Linked DNA regions of Elephas maximus indicus. The protein of the gene in region 2 purifies or fractionates together with the protein of the main gene of each other region. This does not show direct contact. Links are inferred from orthologs where the notes say so. Each region holds a gene or a part of one and is shown on either strand. Other genes may lie near its edges.

Evidence for each region.
Region 1: the proteins of ZC3HC1 (region 2) and PLK1 purify together in Homo sapiens (affinity purification with mass spectrometry; 3 studies listed by BioGRID and IntAct, counting the BioPlex papers as one, with this or other methods). This does not show direct contact. The link is inferred for Elephas maximus indicus from reciprocal best matches to the Homo sapiens genes ZC3HC1 and PLK1.
Region 3: the proteins of ZC3HC1 (region 2) and CUL1 purify together in Homo sapiens (affinity purification with western blotting; 3 studies listed by BioGRID, with this or other methods). This does not show direct contact. The link is inferred for Elephas maximus indicus from reciprocal best matches to the Homo sapiens genes ZC3HC1 and CUL1.

What each region holds. Positions count from the first base shown.
Region 1 is NC_064830.1:83,878,010-83,886,026, forward strand, and holds the start of PLK1 (serine/threonine-protein kinase PLK1), read left to right. Parts: upstream 1-4,937; 5' UTR 4,938-5,058; coding exon 5,059-5,466; intron 5,467-6,206; coding exon 6,207-6,375; intron 6,376-7,127; coding exon 7,128-7,272; intron 7,273-8,017. UniProt on the Homo sapiens protein: Serine/threonine-protein kinase that performs several important functions throughout M phase of the cell cycle, including the regulation of centrosome maturation and spindle assembly, the removal of cohesins from chromosome arms, the inactivation of anaphase-promoting complex/cyclosome (APC/C) inhibitors, and the regulation of mitotic exit and cytokinesis.
Region 2 is NC_064826.1:20,160,413-20,168,199, reverse strand, and holds the start of ZC3HC1 (zinc finger C3HC-type protein 1), read right to left. Parts: upstream 3,074-7,787; 5' UTR 3,028-3,073; coding exon 2,882-3,027; intron 1,248-2,881; coding exon 1,136-1,247; intron 1-1,135. UniProt on the Homo sapiens protein: Required for proper positioning of a substantial amount of TPR at the nuclear basket (NB) through interaction with TPR.
Region 3 is NC_064826.1:1,461,259-1,468,698, reverse strand, and holds the start of CUL1 (cullin-1), read left to right. Parts: upstream 1-4,384; 5' UTR 4,385-4,523; intron 4,524-7,395; exon of another isoform or gene 7,396-7,440. UniProt on the Homo sapiens protein: Core component of multiple cullin-RING-based SCF (SKP1-CUL1-F-box protein) E3 ubiquitin-protein ligase complexes, which mediate the ubiquitination of proteins involved in cell cycle progression, signal transduction and transcription.

The DNA.
Region 1 (8,017 bases), on a different chromosome or scaffold from region 2:
CATTCTCCAGGGCAGATTGGCATCAAACAAACCTGGGTGGTTGCTATGGGTGGTGAGATCCAGCTGGCCAATCTTTTAGGGATGGAGACTCTATTCTGTGGCACTGCAAAGACCCTGAAATGGCAGTGGCAGTGCTGGGACCATGTGTCCAGAAGCCTGTTTATTTCAGAACTGGTATCAGCAAAGTGTCCTGCCAGTTTGGATCACTTCCCATAAATCCATGGTTACTGAAGCGCTTCTGGAGCCTTCAGTGACAGGGTTGTGCCTTTGTAGATCTTATAATTGCGGTTCTTTGGGGGTAGGAAGGTGGGGCCCAGTCCACATGCTACACAGAGAGAGAAGGTACCATTCACTCATTTATTCATTTAACAAGTAATTATTGAGCCACTGTTGGATACCAGGCACTGGCCTGGGTTCTAGAGATACAGTGGAAAATAAAAGCCAGCTTTTGCCCATAGGGATCTTGCAGTTGAGTGGGGAGAAAGCCAAGCAAACAGAACATAGAGTTCTCTGATGGAGGCCTGAGGCGCCCGTCTTGAAAGTCACCATAGTGGTGAGGAGTGTGGGCTCTGATCTCAGGCAGATCAAGTCCCAGCCCTGCAATTTACTAGTCTTGTGACTTTGGGCAAGTTAGCTCACCTCATGAAACCTCAGATTTCTTATCCATAAAATGGGGAAGGGACTGTTAGGGTGATTTAAATGTATTCACACGTGTAAAGTATGAGTATAGTGTCTGGTTCAGGGTTACCACTCAATAAATGGTAGTTAAATTACTATTAATATTGGGAAATGATATACCTAGAAGGAAACCCCTTATATTCTCCATTCTTATATATTTTTAATTTTTTTTCTTAATTTCAATTTTGGTGAAAATATACACAGCAGAACATACACCCATTCATCAGTTTCTACATATTCAATTTAGAAACATTGGTTATGTTCTTCACATTGTGTCACCATTCTTGGTGTCTCTACCCATGTTGTTTCACCAACATTGAGTTAGACTCACTACCCACTAAAGTTCTCATCTATGCTTTAGAGTTACTACTGGCAGTTTGATCTCATGTAGAAAGTTCTTTAAAAAAGCACAATGGTCATGGTGAACATCCCTTACTCACTTAGCTAAACAGTTGTTTAGTTTAAAGATGACTTCAGAGGATAATTTTGGTTCACGGTTTGAAAATTTTCTCAGAGTGATAGATTCAGGGTTTCCTCCAGTCTCAGTAAGCCCAGTAAGTCTGGATTCTATAAGAATATACAATTCTGTTCGACATTCCCCCCCGTGATGGTTAATATTGTGTGTCAGCTTGGCTAGGCCATGATTCTCAGTGTTTATATGTGATCGCTCCCATGATGGAATCTACTCTGAGTGGCCAATCAGTTGAAAGGGAGTTTCTGTGGGGATGTGGCCTTCATCCGAATATAAGGAGATGTTCTGGCTTTTTGCTCATTCTGGATTCTCCAGCCGCATTCTGTTTGTCTGACCTTTTACTCTTGGGACTTGAGCTATCAGCTTATCTGCAGATCTTGGGATTCGTAGATCTTCACAGCCTGAGAGCGGGAGTCCCGCTCTTCAGCCTGCCTATCTTGGGTTCACCAGCCCCAGCGGCTACGTTAATTGAGAAAAGCCTCTATTCTGATCCACAGACTGGGGACATTCCAGCCTCTATAGTCTCGTGAGCCTTTTCCTTGATATGAATCTCTCTATATAAAAAAAAAAAAAAAAAAATTTTTTTTTTTTTATATATTTATACACTTTACTGGTTTTGCTTCTCTAGAAGACCCAGGCTAAGACACCCCACTTTTGATCAGGATTCATCTCTTGATTCCTTGATCAAAACGTTCAGTAACGGTAGCTGGCACCATCCAGTTCTTTTGGTCTCATGGCTGAGGAGGCAGTAGTTCATGGAGGCAGTTAGACCTGCAATCATGTTCCTGTCCCGATTCCTCAGTCTCCTTCTTCCTCTGCTGCTCCATTTTTTAAAAAATTTTAAAGTAAAATTAAGAACATCTTGCCCTTTATAATTGGTCCGGTACAAAGAAGAGTTGGTGGAAAAGAACTCATTCTTCCTTGTTTTGCATCTATAGGGTGCTAGGCACTTAGTACAAAACATTTAATCCTTCCAACTGTCAAAACAGTAGGGATTTTTGCAACCCATTTTACAGAGGAGGAACCTGACATTCAGAGAATTTAAGTAAATTTGCCCAACATCACACAGCTAATAAATGGCTGAGTTGAAATCAAAACCAAGTCTTATCTGGCCTCGAAGTCCATGCTCCATGCAGCTTCTCCAATACCCTGGGCCTCCAAAGCAGTTGGCTCTGAGGACTACACTTACTGCCTTGTTGGTTAACCCTTTGCTTTCCTTAGGTTTTTGCTGGTGGGTTGTTCCCCTCTGACCTGGATCCTGAAGTGAGAAGAGTTGGCACAGGGCATCTTGCTTCCTTGAGGAGAGCAAATGAGCTGGTTCTGGATCTCCCAGTTCACTGGGCATTAGGAACATAGGGCATGGAGAGGAACATCTTTCAAGAAAAGAGACACAGGAATGGAATCCATGTCCTTTCTGGCTCTCAGACCTTGGGCCTGTGGATTTTCTTGGTCCTACCAACTTGACTTTTTTCAGCTATAGTCTCCTCAACCTTTCGTGTCTCTTGAGTGTGGTTTTTGTTTTCCCATGGGAGCAGCAAGAGCCTGAGGAAGCAGTAGGGACAGGAGAGGGGGAGAATAAGGAAATATGAGAGGCCTAGGAACTGCCCTGGTGGTACCGTGGATACAGGGCTTATTTTAATTTGCACCTAAAGGCATAACTGAGATCCGTACTGCAGGTTGGTCTCACCCTGAGGCCTGGGGTCCCACTGATAATAATTTTGCTGTAAGGAAACCTTAGCCAAGGGCCAAGGGGGTAGACTGTGCAGAAAAGAGTTAACACAGCAAGACCTGAGAGTGCTAGCCTCAGAAAGCCCTGTTTGCAAAGCTGGCCCCTGACTGGCATCTAGGACCTTGAATTTTGGGAGGGCTGTCACCATTCCCTAAGTGATAAGGATGAGTCACTGTATCTAAACTGTTGGGGCAAACAACATGTTTTATGCTGAACACCTGCTTTCTTTCTGGGAGTCTGAAGTTTTGGTATGTACTAGGCAAAGAGTGTCCATGTGACCAACCCCCAGTAAAAACTCCAGACACTGAGGCTCTAATGAGCTTCCCTGGTAGACAACATTTCACACGTATCGTCATAACTTATTGCTGAAGAGCTAAATGCATACTGTGCAACTCCACCTGGTTCCCTCCGGGCTTTGTCCCATGCCCCTTTTCCCTTTGCTGAGTTCGCTTCATGTCCTTTTGCTGTAATAAATCATAGCCATGAATAAAAGTATATGCCAAGTCCTGTGAGTCTTCTAGCAAATCATTGACTGGGAGTGGCTTTGGGGACCCCCAACACAGGGCCCCAGGGGGGCTTCAGGGGTGTTGGTAATGTTCTCTTTCTCCGTCCGGTTGCCAGTTACATGGGGTGTGTTCAGTTTGTGGAACCTCATCGAGCTGTAAGTTGTGATACGTGCACTTCCTCTATGAATATATTAAACATAAATAAAAAGTTCAAAGAAAAAAGGTGGTTACGCAGGATTAAAAAAAAACTTTTTTTTTTTTAACTTTTTATTCTGCTCATTACCCCTTTCACCCCAAGCATTGTGTTGGGAGCAAGACATGGAGTAGAAAAGACAGCATCATTGTCATTGTCGCCTGGTTTAATTGGGAGGCAGGTAAAGATGTGCTTACAAGATGGTTGATTCTTGCAAACTTTATCAAGGACATCAGAGGGTGCTAAGGGGCTACAGAAAAGGGGCTTCTAACTTGGGTATATGGCCATTCCAGGGTTGCCACTCACATACCTACAGAAGCCAGACAGGCAAATGGGCAAAGGCGGAGAGGTGGGAACTGGCAAACTGGGAAGACATGCAGGCCTACTGTTGCTTAACTTCTGGGTTTTTTCGGGAAAAGCCACAAATGTGATTTTTTTTTTTAATTTGAGCTCTCGATTTTTAAATCCTGTAAATGAATTCAATTTTTAAAAAGTGGGGAGGCCAAACGAAATACCCCTGCTGGCCAAATCTGGCCATGGCCTGTCGGGTTGCTAGGCATTCATCCCATCAGCCATTCCTCCCTGTGACCAACAAATTGAGCGTACACTTTTTTTTAGGCATTGGGATAGCAGGGAGCAAGCCAAACAGCTTTCTTGCATAGTGGGTACTGGGCTTCTCAAACTAAAGTGTGTGTAGGAATCACCTGGGCAATCTTGTTGAAAGGTGGCTTCTGACTCAGGAGGTCTGGGGTGAGGCCTTTCTACCAATGCTCAGGTGATGGTGATGCTGGGTCCCTGGACCAGACTTTGAGTAGCGTGGCTCTGTAATGCAGAGGGGCTCAGGAGCAGCTATTTATTTGGAGGGGGCCTAGGGGACTTGCTGTGAAGGTACATTTGCCTGGCAAGCATTCTGTTTTTACGTAGTTTATTTGGGGTGGCTTGGTAGAGAGCTGATGACCACGGAGGCGGGTGCTAAGCTTGTCCCGAGCTACCCCTTGGCTCTGCCAGGTCTCTACTCTTATAGCGCTTACGTTGTGGTAGGCGGGGTGGGAATGGAGGACGGGGCAGGGGGAGGGGTGGTAAAGGAACGTGTTAGGAAAAGCCTGGACGACGTGCATGTGAATTGCAGGAGCTCCCCCAGCTGCCCCCGAACGGGAGACACCCTGAACTCCCCTCCGCAGGCATTCCCAAGCCGAGTTTCCAAGGCATCCCACGTGTGTGCTGTCCGCGCGTCCCTCCCAATCAAGTTTCCTTCCCTGCTGAGCGAAGGTTTAAAGGCGGCGGCTTTGCAGAGCGCTCCCATGGTGCCGCGCGGTGGGCGGGTTTGGATTTTAAATCCCCGCGGCCAATCAGTGGCGCGCAGGGTTTTGTAACGTTCCCGGCGCCGCGTTTGAATTCGAGGGGAGCGGAGCGGAGCGGAGCGGAGCGGTGCGGAGCGTCTACCCAGACCCTGGTAAGCCCGCTGAGCAACTTCGAGAGCATGAGTGCGGTGGTGACGGCAGGGAAGCTGGCACGGGCACCGGCAGAGACCGGGAAGACCGGGGCCCCGGGAATTGCGGTTCCCGGGGCTACGGCGTCCGCCCCGCCGGCGAAAGAGATCCCGGAGGTCCTAGTGGATCCTCGCAGCCGGCGGCGCTATCTGCGCGGTCGCTTCCTGGGCAAGGGAGGCTTTGCCAAGTGCTTCGAGATCTCGGACGCAGACACCAAGGAGGTGTTCGCCGGCAAGATCGTGCCTAAGTCGCTGTTGCTCAAGCCGCACCAGAAGGAGAAGATGTCCATGGAAATATCTATTCACCGCAGCCTCGCCCACCAGCACGTCGTCGGCTTCCACGGCTTTTTCGAGGACAACGACTTTGTGTTCGTGGTGCTGGAGCTCTGCCGCCGGAGGGTGAGGGTCTCTGACGGAGGATTGCAGTTGCTTGGGGGCCGGTGTTGGGGCGCTGGGGGCCCTGAGCTGCTGGGAAGGACTTCCTGGGGAAGGAGCGCCCGGGACCCGCAGCTGCTAGGGAAGGGTTGCTGGGAACCTCTAGGTGGGGCAGGGGAAGGTCTCGGGTAGGGGGTGCTTGGCACTTGAGGCTGCTTGCGTAGGGGGTTAAGTGGAGCCTGAGTTTTGTTGCTGCTGGGGAAGGCAGCTCCTGGACGCGAGGTGTTTGGAGAGGGGAGAACTCTGGTAGTGAATAAATACTAGGGCCCCCAGAGTTCCTATGGGAGGAGCCCTGGGTAAAGGGCGCTGGGGACCTGGAGCTGCCGGAGTGGGGCTGGGGAGGAACAGAAGGGCTGGAGCCAGACTTCGGAGCTTCCAGGGGAGAGAAAGGAAAGAGTACTGGGGACTCTGAGCTTCGGGAGTGGAGCTGGAAGAGGCGTCCCAGATAAGGATCTTGGGAGGAAGGCGCTACTGGGAGAGAGTGCTGTGAGCTGTAATAGCCAGGGTTAGGGCATGGGTCCAGCTTGGGGTTGTCCTGAAGAAGGAATGCAAGAGGGGATAGGAGAGGGAAAGAATCTGTCAAGATCCTTCCCGTATACCTTTGCCTGCCGCTGGGGGTCCAGGGTCCAGTCCTGGGCTGCCTTTCCCTGGCGACCCCACATCCTCAGTGCCACCTCTCCGTTCCTCCTCCTACTGGGGCCTAGTCCCTTCTGGAGCTGCACAAACGGAGGAAAGCGCTGACAGAGCCTGAGGCCCGCTACTACCTGCGGCAGATAGTCCTTGGCTGCCAGTACTTGCACCGAAACCGTGTCATTCACCGGGACCTCAAGCTGGGCAACCTCTTTCTGAATGAAGACCTGGAGGTGAAAATAGGTGAGGTGCTGGGCCTGTAGGGGTGCCCTGCACCACTAGAAGCGGGGAAGAAGGATGAGGAAGTGGAGGGAGGGAGGAAACAGGAAGAAGGCAAGGGAGGATGAGGTGATGGGAAGTCTGAGCTGTTGATTCCCTCTAGAGTCCCTCTTTAGCCCAGAAATTTAAAACAAAGGGCCCACAAGCCAGTATCTTGCCTGTAAATGCATTTTGTGCCCCTTCACAGTATTTTTTTTTTTTTTTTGTAAGAATTAGAATTAGTTTTTTTCACTTGGGAGGCTTGACATAAAAATTTGGATTTGGAGCTCCTTTTAAACGATTAGAAGCACCAGCAACACAGGGACAGCATTCCCTGAGGGCAGCCCTTTTCTGGGCTGAAAGCAGCTGTCCCCTTTAGAATCCCTCTGGTTTGCCACAGTCCCTACCCCTCCCTATTACTTCCTCAAACTTACCAAGCATCAGTCATGAGGTTACTTGCTTGATCCCTGTAGGTGTTTGAGTTTTGCTGTCCCTGTCTTGTTCCCTTTTAGAAGCATAGCCCTCCTTTTTATGGGGGACTGGGGGAACACTGGGTGGCATCATCCTGGGGTCAGCAGATGGGAGGATTCCTGGGCAAGCCTCCCTGGGTGCAAGGAGTAGAGACTTGTGGGAACAAATGACTGTGGGGCTTGATGGTTGAATCTGAACCAGCTGTCTGCATTGACAGCTGGCAGAGACTGGCATCTGAGCATCCCCTCTTCCTCCTTCTGTCCCAGGGGATTTTGGACTGGCCACCAAAGTTGAGTATGACGGGGAGCGGAAGAAGACCCTGTGTGGGACTCCTAATTACATTGCTCCTGAGGTGCTGAGCAAGAAAGGGCACAGTTTCGAGGTGGATGTGTGGTCTATTGGGTGCATCATGTAAGTTGGGAGCTGTCTCAGGACCCATCTGGCCTCAGTAGGGGCCCTTTTGGGCATCTTACCTGGCTGACCTTCTGGGGACACTTCCCCTTATGGAAAGGCTGTTCCAACGGACAGATGTTCCAAAAACAAACCCTAATTTCCCTATCTTGTTGCTCTGTAGTATTCTGTAAGATTCCTGCAGCCTGGGCCATGAGTCCAGGAAGGGGGAAGGGGCACCAGTTGGCATGTTTCCATAACCTTGCTCTAGATCCTCACTACTCCAAGTGGGGTCCACAGACCAACAACATCAGCATCACCTAGGAACTTGTTAGAAATGCAGACTGTCAGGCCCCAGACTTAATGAGTCAGAATCTGGAGTTTAACAGAATTCCCGGTTGATTTTTATGCACAATAAAGTTTTAGGAACACTGATCTGGAAAGCAGCACTGGGTGAGAGGAATCAGGCCAGGTGTTAGGGCTGGCAGGAGGGGGTTCCTGTGGTCTGTCTGGATCAAGACCATCAGGGAGGAGGCTGGGTGGTGGGCAGAGGTGTGGGCCTTCTCAGAGGTGTTAGCTTTATTGTTGTCATTGTTGGCCTGGGTACTAGAGAGTTAGAAATGAGTTGTAGCAATGGCTTTCATACTTTGCAATAGAGCTTTTTTTCCAAATGAAAATGTCAAGCCTTCTCTTAAGTGTAGAAACTACTAAATGTGGAGCTGCTTCTATAGGAGTTGGGAGCTCACATACTTCAACCTGCATTGTA
Region 2 (7,787 bases):
AATAAAACACAGCTTCTGCAAAAGCAAAGTGCACCAGACAGCTTCTAAAAGGGCTCCCAGCAATCCCTGCCTGCTGCTATTCCCAGCCTTGTGTAATCCTCTCCTCTCTGAGTGTGGACTGGACGTGACTTGCTTCTAATGAACAGAATATGGTAAAAGTGATGGGATGTCACTTCTGAGATTAGATTACAGATTAGGTTCTGGCTTCTGTCTTACTCTATGGCTTGCTCTGATGAAGCCAATCACAGTGTTGTAAACTCTCCCCATGGAGAAGCCCAAGTAGCAAGGCACTGAAGGAGGCCTTCAGCCAACGATCAGCGTGGAAGTGAAACCCTCAGCCATGAGGAAATGAGTTCTGGCAGCAACCAAGCGAGCGAGCTTGGGAGTGGATCCTTCCCGAGGAAAATCTTCAGATGACTGCAGCACTGGCTGACACTTTGACTGCAGCCTATGACAGACCCTGAGCCCTATGGTTCAGCTAAGCCAAGCCTGGATTCCTGATCCACAGAAATTGTGAGATAATGTGTGTTGTTTTAAGCCACTAAGTTTTAGAGTAATTTTTTTTTTACACAGAATAGATAACTAATACACAAAGGAAAATCCAGAAAGACAAGAAATGTACACAGTTAAAAAAAAAAAAAAAACAACTATCAGGTTTGGGTACCAAGAGTCCTAGGATATAATCCTGGCTCTGCTATTTGTTAGTAGGTTGATCTTGGGCAAGTCGCATGACCTAACTGTCATCTCCCCTGTAAAATGAGGATAATGCTAATACCTATTTTCATAGGTTTAAGGTGAAGATCAAATGTCACAATATATGTGAAAACGCACTATATATGAAAGTTGTTATTTCTTCTCCTCTCAGGCTTTTAGGTTCTCCTTCTATAAAAATAAAGGTTAGATAATCTCAGATGTCACTTTGAGGGATAACATTTTATGATACTGATTTTTGGTAAAATTTTTTTTACCAAGTTTTGATTCTTAATTTTAAAACATCAGAGTAAGTGGTGTAATACCCTGGAGGAATAACAATTCCAGGAGCAGGCAGGAAGCTCAACTTAACGTGAAGTCAAAAAGGATATGGAACTCCACAACAACAACAACAAAAATAAATTGTAATTTAAAAAAAAGATATAGAAAATGTTTCCACTCTGCTAAAGAAGGCTTCTTTGCTTGTAGATTCCAACGGAGGTTGTTCTGCCTGGGGTGATCCATTAACTGACTGCAAGGTGACAGATGTGTCCTTCCTAAAGTAAAGTGACAGACAGAACTGTTAGTAGTAATCCTTTTATGGTACCACTCTGCCCAAGAATTTTTTATCTGGCTTCTCTCGACATTATACTATCAACCACATCAACAGTGGATCTTAACATTCCTGAAAATCTTTTTAGTTATGCTACTCCTCAGATTAATATTTTCTATGGTTTTATACTATTTGCTAAATAAAATTCAAATATTTCAGTATGGCATTCAAAACTGTTTACAGGTTGGCCATACCTAACTTTCCAGCAGTTCCTACCTCTGGAGTGCTCCACTAATCCTGTACTAACAAACTGTTCTCCTACCTCACTCTTCCCAACAGTGTTTTGCATAACTTTAGTAAACGCAAAATGAGACTCCAGGTGACAGTCATGCATTATACAATTTGTACTGCCTTAGATATCAACTCTTTTAACAGCAGAAAAAAACAATTTTCTTATTTCTACCTGAATCAGCCCCTGATACACACCCCTACCCTCCCGCCAAAAAAACCTCAAATCAGAGTAAACATCTTTAGGAGATTTCATGAAAGAATTTCAGAGAAAAAGATCAGCAAAACAATTTTCTCATTTCTAGTGAAAGACATTTCAATGGCAATGGGCTGGGGGGGGGGGAGGATGCTGAAAGACAAGAGTCATTTTAAGAAAAGCACATTAGACCAACACCTATTATATGCAAAAAAAACATATATATGTATTTTTTACTCTAAGAACCTTTCTCAGACTCAGAGAGAGCCTCAGGAAAGCGTGTGGTTCTTGGAAAAAAATCAAAGGATGCATAAATTTAAATGGGATTGTGGTGGTGCAATGGTTAAGAGCTTGGTTGCTAACCAAAAGGTCAGCAGTTCAAATCCACCAGCCGCTCCTTGGAAACCTCATGGGGCAGTTCTACTCTGTCTTATAGGGCCACTATGAGTCGGAATCCGCTCAACCGCAACTAGTTTAACTGAAATTTAGCATTCCTTTCAATTACGAATGAAAGTAAACGTCAGAAGTATTAGCAGGACCTATTAATTTGTCATCAATAGAAATCAGATTTTTCTCATCACATTATGGTTGCTGCGCATGTTTTAAAACAGCGTTTATGTGCATCACTACGAAATTATGGGAAATAACAGACGGGCTGGGTTAACAGACCGACTGGTAGGTATTACTTAATTTTTTAATAAAGAAGCATGTTACTGTAGCTCTTCTTTTACTGTCTTCATAACTGCATTCCAACGTCATTGACTTCCTTTAAAATTCTGTGTATCTTACTTTATGCCTTTAAAAAACATTCCGAGAAGGGGTTCATAAGCCTCACCAGAGTGCCAAAGGGGTCCGTGGCACAAAAAAAGGGTAAAGAACCCCTAAATAAGAGAAGTTAGGCGCGCACATTCAGTTAGCGGTTCTCTTTCTTTCTTTCTGTCCTCCAAATAACTGTCTATGGCAAAATTCCACCCCTCGTGCGGGGTCCGGTGGGGAGAAAAAAAAGCTAAGTGTAGCAACCCCAGTCCCTTTCCGATCCGGGAAAACGCCGTCCCAACGCCAGAGGCGCGGACCAGGGCGACCCCCGAGGCCTATGTTCCCCAATCTCTCTCCAACCTGCCGGCCCCAGTCCCAGAGTTGACTCGCGAACTCACGCATCCGCTCCTCCCTCTTCTGGGGCAATCCCCTCATCTATCAGCTGCCGGATTTTCTGGGGGGTCCCTTCGGGGGAGCGAACAACCGCACCCCAATTCTTTTCCACCCCCGCGACAAAAGTTAGCCCCTCGGTGGGCGCCGCCATCTTGGTCCGTTGCCGAGTTGCTTCCCCGCCGGTTTGAACGCTCAGGAACTTCCGTTCTCGACGGTTAAGATCCGCCTCTGACACGGTTGCCAACGCGAACCAGCAGTCTGACTGTAGACCCATCCCTTCCGTTTTAGAAGGGAGGGCTAAGTAAAGTACTACTTTCATGAACGAGCATATCTGGGCTGACAGCGGATTTATACAGCGATATGCTCCAAATTCAGATGGGATGAAGTCCAACTTTAAAGTAATTAATATTAATATTTAGTATTAACTAAAGTAATTCATTCCCAAATTACTTTTTTTTTTTTCAAACGAGTAAATACGAACCCTCGCTTGAGAGCAAAAAGAGTGGTTGCATTTAGAACCTGTGGCATTTGACACTATTGAACACTCCCTTTTTTGTTCTACAAATATCGAGTGTGTCCTGCTGTTGGTGCGGGAGCCCTGGTGGCTCAGTGGTTAAGAGTTATGTATGGCTGCTAACCAAAAGGTAGGAAGTTGGAATCTGCCAGCTGTTCCTTGGAAACCCTTTGGGGCAATTAATTTTTTTTTTTTTTATAGGGTTGTAGTGAGTCGGAATGACCCCACAGCAAAGGTTTTGGTTTAACTAATGTGCTAGACGCTGCACTGGGTGTTGGCAACGACAGCAGTGAACAAAGGATACATAGTTCTTAGTGGACATCAAGCAAATAGATTTTCCTTTGGTTTTTAAATTATGATTATGTAAGTGCTATGAAGAAGACTTAGTGACGGTATAATTGGAGGACCTAATTTAGTTTTTGGATTGAGAAAGTGGTGCCAGAGCCGAGATGGATGAGACTGCAGGGAAGACATCTGCACAGAATTTTCCAAAGCCTCAGGCTGGAAGGAGTTTGTCTCTCATAATCAACTGAAAAAGAAGACTGCTGGAACTGCGCAGTGTGCAAAAGGAAAAGTGGGACCACCTCCTGCCCTTCTTAGCCTCCTCCCGGTCTCCAACAAAGTTCCGACTCACCAGGACCTGTCATCTACTGACCGTACCACCTTACCACTGTCCCTAACACCACCCCCCAACCCTTTGTTTCTTCTTTCATCATAACCAGTTGTCATGGAGCTGGTTTTGACTCAGGGTGACCCCATGTGTGTCAGAGTGGAAATGTGCTCCTTAGGGTTTTCAATGGCTGATTTTTCAGAGGTATATTGCCAGACCTTTCTTCCAAGGCACCTCTCGGTGGACGCCGACCTCTGGATTAGCAGCCAAGCAAGTTAACTGTTTGCACCCCCTAGGGACTCTTCAGCCATCTTAAATTCATTACCAATTATTATCATCATTCCTTTGCAAAATCTGAATGTAGATTGAGAATTAATGTTAAGGAATTGTTACCCATATAGCTATCGGGCTAAAATTGGTACTATTAAAAACTTTACGTATTATTATCATTGTATCATCCATTCCCACTAATTAAGAAGCAGTTCTTCAGAATCTGCTTTGTGTAGTAAATATCTTAATTCATATTGTACTTTATTGTTTGCATCTATTTATCACAATTCTTTGTTGTTATTGTTAGATGCCAGCGAGTCAATTCCAACTCATAGCGACCCTATAGGACAGAGTAGAACTGCCCCATAAGGTTTCCTAAGCTGGTGGGTTTGAACTGCCAAACTTTTGGTGAGCAACTGAGGGTTTAATCACTGCACCACCAGGGCTCCTTCGCAACTCCAGAGGCGGTATATCAATTACAATTGTATTGGCTTCAGGTAACAAACCCAATTTAACCTAAGCAAGAAGGGGAATTTTGTAGATAGCATTTCTTAAAATTAAGTAATGTTCATTTCACCTTTTTATTTTCTTCATACTGTTTTAAAAGGGAAAATAAGCCCCCTCCTCAATGTTGACAAGTTTTTTTAAATCAATACATTACTTAAGTGCATAAAGTATTTGTCAACTCCTTGTGCTTATACCCCCCTCCCCCCCAGAAAAAAAAAAAAAAAAACCTAACCTGTTGCTGTCAAGTCAATTCTGACTCATAGCGACCCTATAGGCCAGAGTAGAACTGCCCCATAGGGTTTCCAAAGAGCCCCTGGTGAATTCAAACTGCCGACCTTTTGGTTGGCAGCTGTAGCTCTTAACTACTATGCCACCAGGGTTTCCCTTATGCTTGTAAAAATCTTAAAATCAGAACAAAAATTTTAAATCAAACAACTATAAACTCAAAGCAACTCACAATAACGACATTAATTTACTGTGATGAATGATACTGCTTTGCTGAAATAAAATCACCAATGTTGAAGAAAAGTAGAAAAATATAGCCTCAGTTCAGGTTCTCTGTTTAATCCACTTCTGTGATTTAACTTTCAGTAATATTAATGCACGCAGAAAATGCCTGTTTACATAAGCGTGCCGTACCAAAAACACAAAATGGTTTTAATAATTTCAACACCTTGTTTATTAGTTCAGGATTATTGGACCTAATACTTCACAAAAACTTTACCAGGAAGCATTTCTCTAATGTCATTTGATACCTTCATAAAACTGTCTTGTTCGCTTGCAGTTAAGTTAGTGTTATTTAAATCTGCATTAAGGGAGAATCTGAACAAATTATTGCTGCAATTGGGAACAGGAAGTAATATCTGGACTTTGAGTTCTATTATCAGAGATGTTGAAAAAATCTTATAGTTTGAGTGCAGAGCTTTCTAGCTGATTGTCAAAGGAAATCAGTACTCAGATGACTCATTCACACCATTTAGAAAATGATGGGCCGTTAGTCAGTTTTCTTTTCCAACTTCCACTTTTCATTGGGCTTGTAACATTAGAGGCACTGTGGAATTTGCTTTTGGACTGTCTGCTATGATGTCACGCAGCCTTCATCTGGTACAAGTTTGCCCCTTCTCATTAGCCTGCAACAATTAAAGTAATACATATATTACTCCATTGGAGTCTGTCATTTTCATGATGTCAACAAAAAACTAAAGTTATTAAATAATGTAAAAAAGCAAAGTTTAATTATACTCCAGTCTTTCAGTTATAAAGCACCACTACAAGAGTTTTGTCTTCATAATGGATGTTTATAAACCCATGTGGCTTATTGCCTAAACAATATTGCATTGAAATCAGAGCCTAAACAGGATTTCCAACCTTTAGTCATATTGCTCTCAAACACATACTATCGTGTGACTTGATAGACCTTCCCTGTAGCCGGCAGGAGATATTTGGGAGGAGGTCTTTTCCCTGAGGCTGCTGCATATAGGTAGGTTCACCCATGATGGTGGACAGACTTCAGTGCAGTAAAACTTGTGAAAGCCAGAACTCGTGTAAGGCAGAAACCTGTCAGAAAAGGAAAACTGAGATACTTTTTGATAAAAGCGATAGAAAAGTGGTAAGACTGCACCGTGAACGGCAGAAAACTTGAGACCCCTCGAAAAAAGGCAGTCTGGGAGAGTTCTGGCTCTCACAGATATCACTGTATAAATCCTCAACCCAAGTCACTGAAGCTGCAGTGATTTCTGAAAACATTAATCTGATTGTGTACCATCTCTGCTTAAACCCTTCAATGGCTCCTTGTTCTATTAGGATTCAATCTAAACTCCTCGATGAGGCTTACCTTTCCAGTCATCTCAAGCCCAATTGTTTAACTCCTTCCCCCCTCTACCAAACAATCTCCGTTTTACCTTTGTATAGCAAAAGCCCAGGGTTGTTTTTTCCAAACCCCAAAAGGAAATTAAGACCTTCACTTCCAAAGCGACACAAAAACATGGACGCTTTGAGATTAGCTTTTTTAGAGAGGGGATCGTGGGAGCAAACACAGTCCCTGGGTGGGCAGTTGGAACTCACCCAGCAGCACCTGGCAACCTGCTTTGGTAATGCAAACAGCCAAGAAAACCCCATGGTGCAGTTCTATTTTTTAACACATGGGGTCACCACGAACCATAATTCACTGGCAGCAGTGGGTTTGGTATGGGCTCGGGGAGCAAGGATTTGCCTTCAAAAATTCACCAGGTCTCCTACACAGCTTCTTCCCTCCTTCCGGGATTATTTTGAAGCAAATCCTAGACAGCATGAAATTTCATTTATGAACATTTCACTATACCTCTCGAAAAGAGAAGAATACCTTAAAAAAAAAAAAAGGCATCCACGATCCCTAAAAAAAAAATAATTCCTGAATATAATTCAATATTCAGTCCAATTTCTCATTAAAAAAAAAGGAGTTGGTACGTTCCAATCAAGGTGTCAATAAGGTCAAACATTGTATTTGGCTAGTATGTGTCTTGTTGTGTACCATCGAGTAGATTCAGAGTCAGTGACCCCTTGAGTCAAAATAGAACTGCCCCATAGGGTTTTTTAGGCTGTAATTTTTTTTTTTTTTTTAACTTTGTCTGAGCATATCGCCAGACCTTTCTCCTGGTGCAGCTGGGTGGTTATGAACTACCAACCTTTCTGTTTAGCAGCCAAGAGCTTAACAGGTTGCACCACCAACCTTCCTCACAATAAGTTTTTTTTTTTTTTTTTTTTACCAACGCTCCTCACAAGTCTCTTAAAACTCCATTAATACGTTTTTTTTTTTAAGGAGCTGGTGGCGCAGTGGTTAAAGTGATCGACAGCTGACGAAAAGGTTGGCGTTTGAAACTACCAGCAGGCTCCGCGGGAGAAAGCAGTCTGCTTCCGTGGAGATTTACAACCTTGGAAACCCTATAGGGTCGCTATGAGTCAGAATTGACTCCGTGGCAGTGGGTTTTGGGGTTTGGTAATACGTAGGTGCCCCTTTCCTCCTTCTCTTCCT
Region 3 (7,440 bases), about 19 Mb from region 2:
CTTCACAACTTTATCCATAATCTGCTATGATCAAACTATAGTCACAAATGAAGTGTCTGTAGCCTACTATGCAAATGAATTATCTGTGGCCTACTGAGAGAGGATTGGTCAACTTGTGGTGCCTGCTGGAGGGGCAATGCCTTGAAATTGACAAGGAGTTGCAGACAGAAGTCGCCAACCCCACAGAGGTTTTTTGAGACAAGACAGAAAAAGTAGAAAACGGGAAGCAGGAAGATGCAAAAAGGAGAAAAGCAGCAGAGAGAGAAGAAGCAAAGAACCTTCTAAAGGATCCATATGGGTCAAGGGCTGGAACACTGAAGACAGTGACAGGCCCGGAAGAGGCTCTGTGGCAGAGCCAAAGGCAGGAAGGCCTGTCCTCAGGGACCAATAGGAGGCCTGTTCTGAGGGAGTTGAGAAGAAGCCTGTCCTGAGGAGCCAAGAGGAACCTTGTCCTGAGATGGCCAAGAAGAGGCTTGTCCTGAGGGGACCGAGAGGAGGCCTGCACAGCCCAGAGGGAGTGTGCACAGCAGAGAGGTCCTGCTTGCTTGCACAACCCAGAGGAGCTGAAAGAGCTGTCCTGCACTAAAGGCTCTGCCTACATGCTTCCTAATCCTGATCCCAAGTTGTACCCTACTTCCTTAATAAACCACTTAACTGTAGGTATGGTCTGTGAGTTCTTTGTGGCCATGACAACAGATTTTCGAACCCAGATGAGAAGTAGAGAGTGCAGTGGGAGGGACAGCTGGTATCAGAACTAGTAAAGAGGTTGGAGTGTGTAGATGTCTGACCTCCACCTCATAGGGATCAGTCATGGGCTGATCTTGATTCTCATTATACACCCCCTGAAGTTAGACAGGTACTGATGCTACTACTCCCACCATTTTACACTCTGGATTCAAGAAACAATCTGTGATGGAGAGGGAAATATGGAAGGAAAATAAATTGCAATGCCAAATTATAAACTCTTCAGTGAAAGAACACCTTATCTAGAGATGAGGGTGGAGTAGGTTTGGAGGGTCATAGAAAGCTTCCTGGACAAAGGATTTTAGGACAGTTTTCTGGAACTCTGAATGCTCGCCAGTTCTAGGTTGAATCATTTGAAAATGGCTATTTCATAGGCCCCAACTTAACTGAATGTAACGATGGCATTTAAGTCCCTCAGGAAAGACCTCAAATGTCTACTTAATTCATAACTATCTTACAGTAGTATTTTCTGACTTCTGGATCCCAAAACAAGAGGCATAGCAGTGGCAATATGAATACCTGAAACGAGAAAAGTTAGAATTTTAAATCCTCCCATCTCCTTTCCTGCATTCCATTCCATTCCTAAAGGTTCCTCTCCCAGGTCCACTGGCCCCAAGGCTTTCAGCTTGCTCTGAGACCCTCAGTGTTCTCTCAGACTTGCCCAAAACTTCCCATTCTTTAGGTGGGACTGATCCATGTTAGAAAGAAGACAACCCAACTCAACTAGTTAATGCTAAATGTGACTGAATGACTCAAGCTCTGTTACCCTCCTGGAGCTATTTTGATTTTTAGGAGAGGTTACTGAAGAATCTTTGGTGAAAATCCAAGCAATAAAAGCAAGGCCTTTTGTGAAGGCCTTTCTGTATGCAAGCCATTTATAAGTCAAGAGTTGAGAAAGTGGGGGGCTACCTATCCTATGGTTCCACAGTCGGATATATTTTGTGACTGTGGTAGGAAAACATCTGCTTCATATTTTACATATGTTGTTGTTAGCTGCTGTTGAGTTGGCTCCAACTCCTGGTGACCCATGTACAACAGAACGAAACACTGCCTGGTCCTGTGTCATCTTTGTGATTGTTGGTATGCTCATGACCATTGTTTTGGCCACCGTGTATTTTGAGTGCCTGACAGCCTGGGGGCTCCACTGGGTTTTCACTGGCTAATTTTCAGAAATACATCACCAGGCCTTTTTTCCTAGTCTGTCTAAGAAAAGGAAGTGAGGAAATAAAAAACACCACGTATCTACAGTGGAAAGTGTGGTCCCCAGGGAAAAGCCTTCCATTTTACCTCCAATCTTACCAAGTGCCCAACAAGAAAACTGTTAAAATACACCTATGTTTTCCTTACTAGATCATTAGTAATGTAGGCTATCCCCCAAGCATTTTGGAGGATCATCTATTTTGGCAATAAGAATGTATAAAAGATGTTGAGAAAAGACCACAGTTCAGTAGGAAGAGCCAAATACCCTGATGGGATGTGTCTTACAAGAGACAGGTGGTTACTCAGGAAGTAGTGAATGGAGGTAGTGCCTCTGCTCTAGGCCGAGGGCTGCTGCCCAGCATGGAACTAGAATCTCTGCAGTGTTTTAGTTTGGGAAGTCACATTCTTCACATCTCTTAGTCAGATGACAATTTGAAATCCTTCCTTGCTTGTTCACAGAGTTAGGTTGTGAGTGACGGCCCTAGGTATGCGGCTATCCATGCCTTCTCAGCCTCTGCCACATATCGGGTAGCTACTTGGGCTGCCAAAGTTTATATTTAACTTGAGTATTTCAGGTAGGGAGTATGACACTTAATTTCAAACTAATGGGATTAACTACTTCAGCCTGCATGTTAAGAAAATACTTAGTCACATCTCATACTATACATACATGCAATCAAATTTTTAAATTCTGTCTGTTTTTAATTTGGTTTTACAAAGATTAATAATAAAGTGAATCTTGGTGAAAATTTGCCAAAAATGATTTGGTTACAGGACTTGAAAAGGGAAGCTTGGTTTGGTTCTATTTTAGAAATGATCAAAAAAAAGAGGTGCAGATAATCCCAGGCTTTTAGGTCCTGATTCCTAAGGCCTGCAGGTGTAGGACACTGAGAATCCCACACTTCGGTGTGATGTCTGGGCCTCATTTTCAGGCCATCTCCCACAGCTGACTGTCTTACCTGCCCATCAGGATACTACATTAGGTTTGCCTCCGGTGCATTTATCTTCCATCCCAAGAAGCCTATTGATGGGATGTCTGTGTACGTGATGTCCTTGTATGATATGTCTGGTGGTGTACATCTGTGTCTGTGTGGTGTGATATGGTGTGGCATGATGTGCATGTCTGTAGTGTATGTGTGTGTGTTATATTTGTGTGATTGTGTGTGCAGTGTGTTTGTGGTATGAGGTGTGTGTGATGTGTCGTGTATGTGTCTATGTGGTGTGGGATGTATATTCTGAGTAGTGTGTGAACATGAGAGATGTATGCAGTGTGTGTGTGTGGTGTTTGATGTATGTGTCTGTGTAGCATATGTGTGGTGTGACATGCATATGTCTGTGTGAACATGTGAGCTATGTGTGGTGCATTTCTTTATGGTGTGAGGGTGGGTGTGCAGTGTACCTGTGTGGTGTGTGTACATGTATGTGAAGTGTATCCATGTGGTGTACACACATACGTATGTGTGGTGAGGTGTGTGATGTATCATGTGGTGTGTGAACATGGGAGGTATGTGCAGTATATGTGGTGATGTGTGTGTGGTGTATGTGTGATGTGGCATGTATGCCTGTGTGAACGTGAGGCGTGTCTGTGTGCTGTATCTGTGTGTGGTGTGTATCCACGCAGTGTATGTACATGTGTATGAGTACTGAGATGTGTGACGTACCTGTGTGGTGTGTGAATGTGTGAGGTGTGTCTGTGTGGTATATGTGTGATGTGGCAGGTATGTTTGTGAACATGTGAGGTGGGTGTGTGTGGTGTGAGGGTCTGTGTGTGGTGTGCATCTGTGTGGTGTGTGTATATGTGTGACCTATATGTAGTGTGGGGTATGTGTGTACATACGTGATATGTGGTATAAAGTGCGGTGTATACTTGTGCGGTGTGTGTCGTGTGTCTGTGGTGCCCGCGCACACTTCCCGCCCCCTCTTTGCCCCCACTTGCCCCACCTGCGGAGACCGCGGCCCTCAGGGCTCAGTGTTGTCGGCGTCCAGGACCGGCCGTGGGCTCTGAGGTAGCGAGACGGCGGCAGGCCCGGCGAGGACCAGGTGCGGCGGGAGGAGGCAGGAGGAGGAGCCGGGCTGAGGAAGAGGAAGAAGAAGAAAAGGTGAAGGAGGTGAACGGAGGAGAAGGCGGAGCCGAGCGGAGGAGGAGACAGAGCTGGGCCGAGGAGGCTGAGGAGGAGGCGGAGCCGAGCCAGGGGGGAGGCGGAGCCGGGCTGAGAAGGAGACAGCCGGGCCGAGGAGCTGAGGAGGAGACACAGCCGGGCCGAGGAGGAGGCGGAGCCGGGTCAGGGAGAGGCGGAGCCAAGCGGAGGAAGAGGCGGAGTCGGACGGAGGAAGCCGAGCGGAGGAGGCGGGGCCGGGCTGAGGAGGAGGCGGAGCCGAGCTGAGGTGGAGGAGGAGGAGGAGGAGCCGAGCGGAGGAAGAGGCGGGCGGCGCGGCGCACGGCGGGCGGGGCGGCCCGGGAGCAGGACGCGGCCAGGCCTCGGCGGGACGGGCTTCGGGCCTTGTCTGGCCTTCTCGGGGCCGGGCGGGCGGGGAGCGCGGACGTCGCGGGGCCGGCCGGCGCAGGGGACGCGGACGCGGTGAGTGCGGCGGCGGGCCGCGGTGTCGCAGCGGCCGGGCCGAGGCGGCGCCGGCGGAATGGCGGCGGCGGCGGGGACGCGGCGCGGCGGCAGGGGCCTGAGTCAGCGCAGCGGCTGCGCGCGGCCGGCGGCGGCCGTTATGGGGTCACAATCGGCGGCCCGTTCTCTCGCGGCCCGGACGGGCGGCTGCGGCCGAGCGCGAACCCGCGCTGGGACGAGGCGGGGCGCGGTGACCCGGTGACCCGCCGTGAGGACCGGCCTGGCCCCTCGGCGCGGTGGGCGCTCGACTCGCCGGCCGCCGCGCCGCGCCTTCCGCGGGAGCTGGGAGCGCGGCGGCGAGCGGCCTGGCCGTCTTGGAGCCGCGTTGCGGAGTGACGGACGGGAACCGAAGCGGTTTCCACTTAGGCCGCGGCCCGGGCCTCCGTCCCGACCCCGCGGAAGCTGCGCGGGCTGCGGTCGCTCTGCGTCGGGGCCTCGCTGCGTCCCCGAAAGCCCGCAGGGCGTGTGGCTGTGTGGCCGGTGCGTGTGGTGCCGGCGAAGTACACCGTGTGTCGGCGGGGAGGCGCCGGGACCTGAGGCTCGCTTTGTCCGGGAGGTTTTTGAATATTAGGAAAAATTTAGTTTGAAGTTCTGTTTATTGCTCTGCATGGACAGTCCACATAGTTGCATCGCATTTCAAATTCCGAAGCTGGTGAACGCAAGGTGGCCTGGCGTTAACTCCACTATGCCCATGTTTGGAGGTTTTGGAGCGTGTTCCCGAAGCTTCAGAGGGGTGGCTGGATTACTTTCTGAATATGTTAAACTTTTTTCCGTCGCTGGTCTCATCTTTTAAAAGCTGTTTTGCCTGAAAACCCCTAAACCAACCAAGCTTAGTATACTGGAAGTTTTCACCCATTTCTCCGGCCCACTCTCAGAGCCCCTAGCCCTAGCCCTTGTAGGCAGCCCCATTGCTAACTTGTACCCCATCAGAAAACTGAGGGACACTCGCGTGTGTGAGCCGGTTATGCACAGCGTCGCAGAGTATTAAAGCAGGTTAGGTTCCTGATGCTTAATGAGCACCTGGTGATAATTAGCCTCGGTGATGAACACAGCTTTATTTCCCGTATGTTTCAAACTGGATTCCTTGAGGGCAAGGAATATTCCTTATTTATTTTTGCATCCCAGATTAGCACAGAACTTGGTCAAGGTGGTACCTCAGTGTTTGGATGAATGTTCTGAGTAGTTCTACCTGTTATACCTATTGTTTGACCACTTGCCCTGATTTTGGTTACAGAAAACACCCCAATTACACTGTTCACGAATGCAAGCTTTGTTACTGTTATTGCACTGTTATTGAATTTGCTGTCTTTTTCCTCCATCCTTTCTTTTTCATTACCTCGTCCTTTCCCCCTCCGTACCCCAGTATCTAGCCCAATGCCCCAAAAGATATGCCCAGGTTTTCTTTACCTGTGGAAATCAAGCAGGTGCCAAGAAAACAGTTTGTGAAACTTTACTTAGCTTTTTTCCCCTTCAAAACTAGATTTAAGGTGTCGAATTTGTTTATCTTTTTGTGAGTTTTTTTTTTTTTGAATCATTTTTTCCCCCAGGCTAAATATTGCACTTTGTGTTTGAAAATGAAAAAAGTAGCCTGATAGTTGAGGCTCTTCCATGTTGGAAAGATGAGGCAAACCCGCTTGTGCTACTACAGAGTCCGGGATGCGGCCTCTGATTGGAAAGACCCTTCTCAGGTCCTTGGGGATCTTTTTCAGAAGTTCACTCCCAGTATGCCCAGTCATAGACAGTCTGAACACACTAGTCTTTAAAATGTCTAGAATTACTTGACATTCTTCAGTTTAAAAAAATGAGGGCCCCAAAAACTTGTGAACGTGTTTGTATTTTTATTCTTTGCTGTTTTAATTCTCCGTAGGTCCCATCTACCCTTGACAATTGAGTGGGTCAGCCTGGAATAAAATGCCTTTTGGGGATTGTTAGCTTCATTTTAAGCTTGTCTTTTAGATATTTCTAGAGAAAAGAATAATAGTTCTAAGGATCAATTCTAAGTTCATCTTGATTTTTAAGCTTATCTGGTAGTTTTAGTAAAGTGTGTTTTTTTGTTTGATTTTCAAGATCGAAAAATGAGCATCAAATGAGGAATAAATCAAATTTGGGATTTTAAGCTCCCTGAGGAGGTTAAGCTCCTAGTTTGTAATATGTGAATTTTATTTAGTAACAAAATTATGACACTTTTAGTGATTTTCCTGTGTTTTATTCACTCATAGATTTTTCTAGCTCTATATATAGCTGTGTGTTGTTACTAGCTTACGTATATGTGTGGTGTTTATTTATTCATTTATTTTTGCTTAGACGTAGAACATTTTGCTTGAGAGCAAAGACATGGGGTCTAGTCTGAGCTAAACTTTGCTGAGCCTGTATTTCCTCATTTGTAAAATGAGTTGGTTTTTAATCGCACTGTTTAAGATTTCTTTAGGCCCTCAGAGTGTTTGGCTTCTGTGGGAGTGACATAACTTTGAACTTCAACAGCATTTTGAAAAACTGCCTTATAAAATATAATCCACCTTAATCATGACTGAAAAGCAGAATTGTGAAGCCCAAGTTTGATAGCAATTTAAATTTTTTCCTTTGTGGGAAAACTTGGATCTAGGAAGCTTACCTCTCCTTTCCCTGCTTCCACCCTACTGCTGTCCAGGTTCCCAGGATCCCCTGCCACCCTCCCTGCCGCTGTGGCTCATGCTTTCTCCTGCCTAGAATATCATCTCTCTTCCGTTCCCTTAAGTCCCTGAGTGGTGCAAGCGGTTTGCGATCATCTTCTAACATAAAGGTCGGTGGTTTAAACCCACCCAGTGGCTCCGAGGGCGAAAGACCTGACTGTTTGCTGTAGTAGTAAAGATTACAGCCTAGCAAACCCTATGGGGGCAGT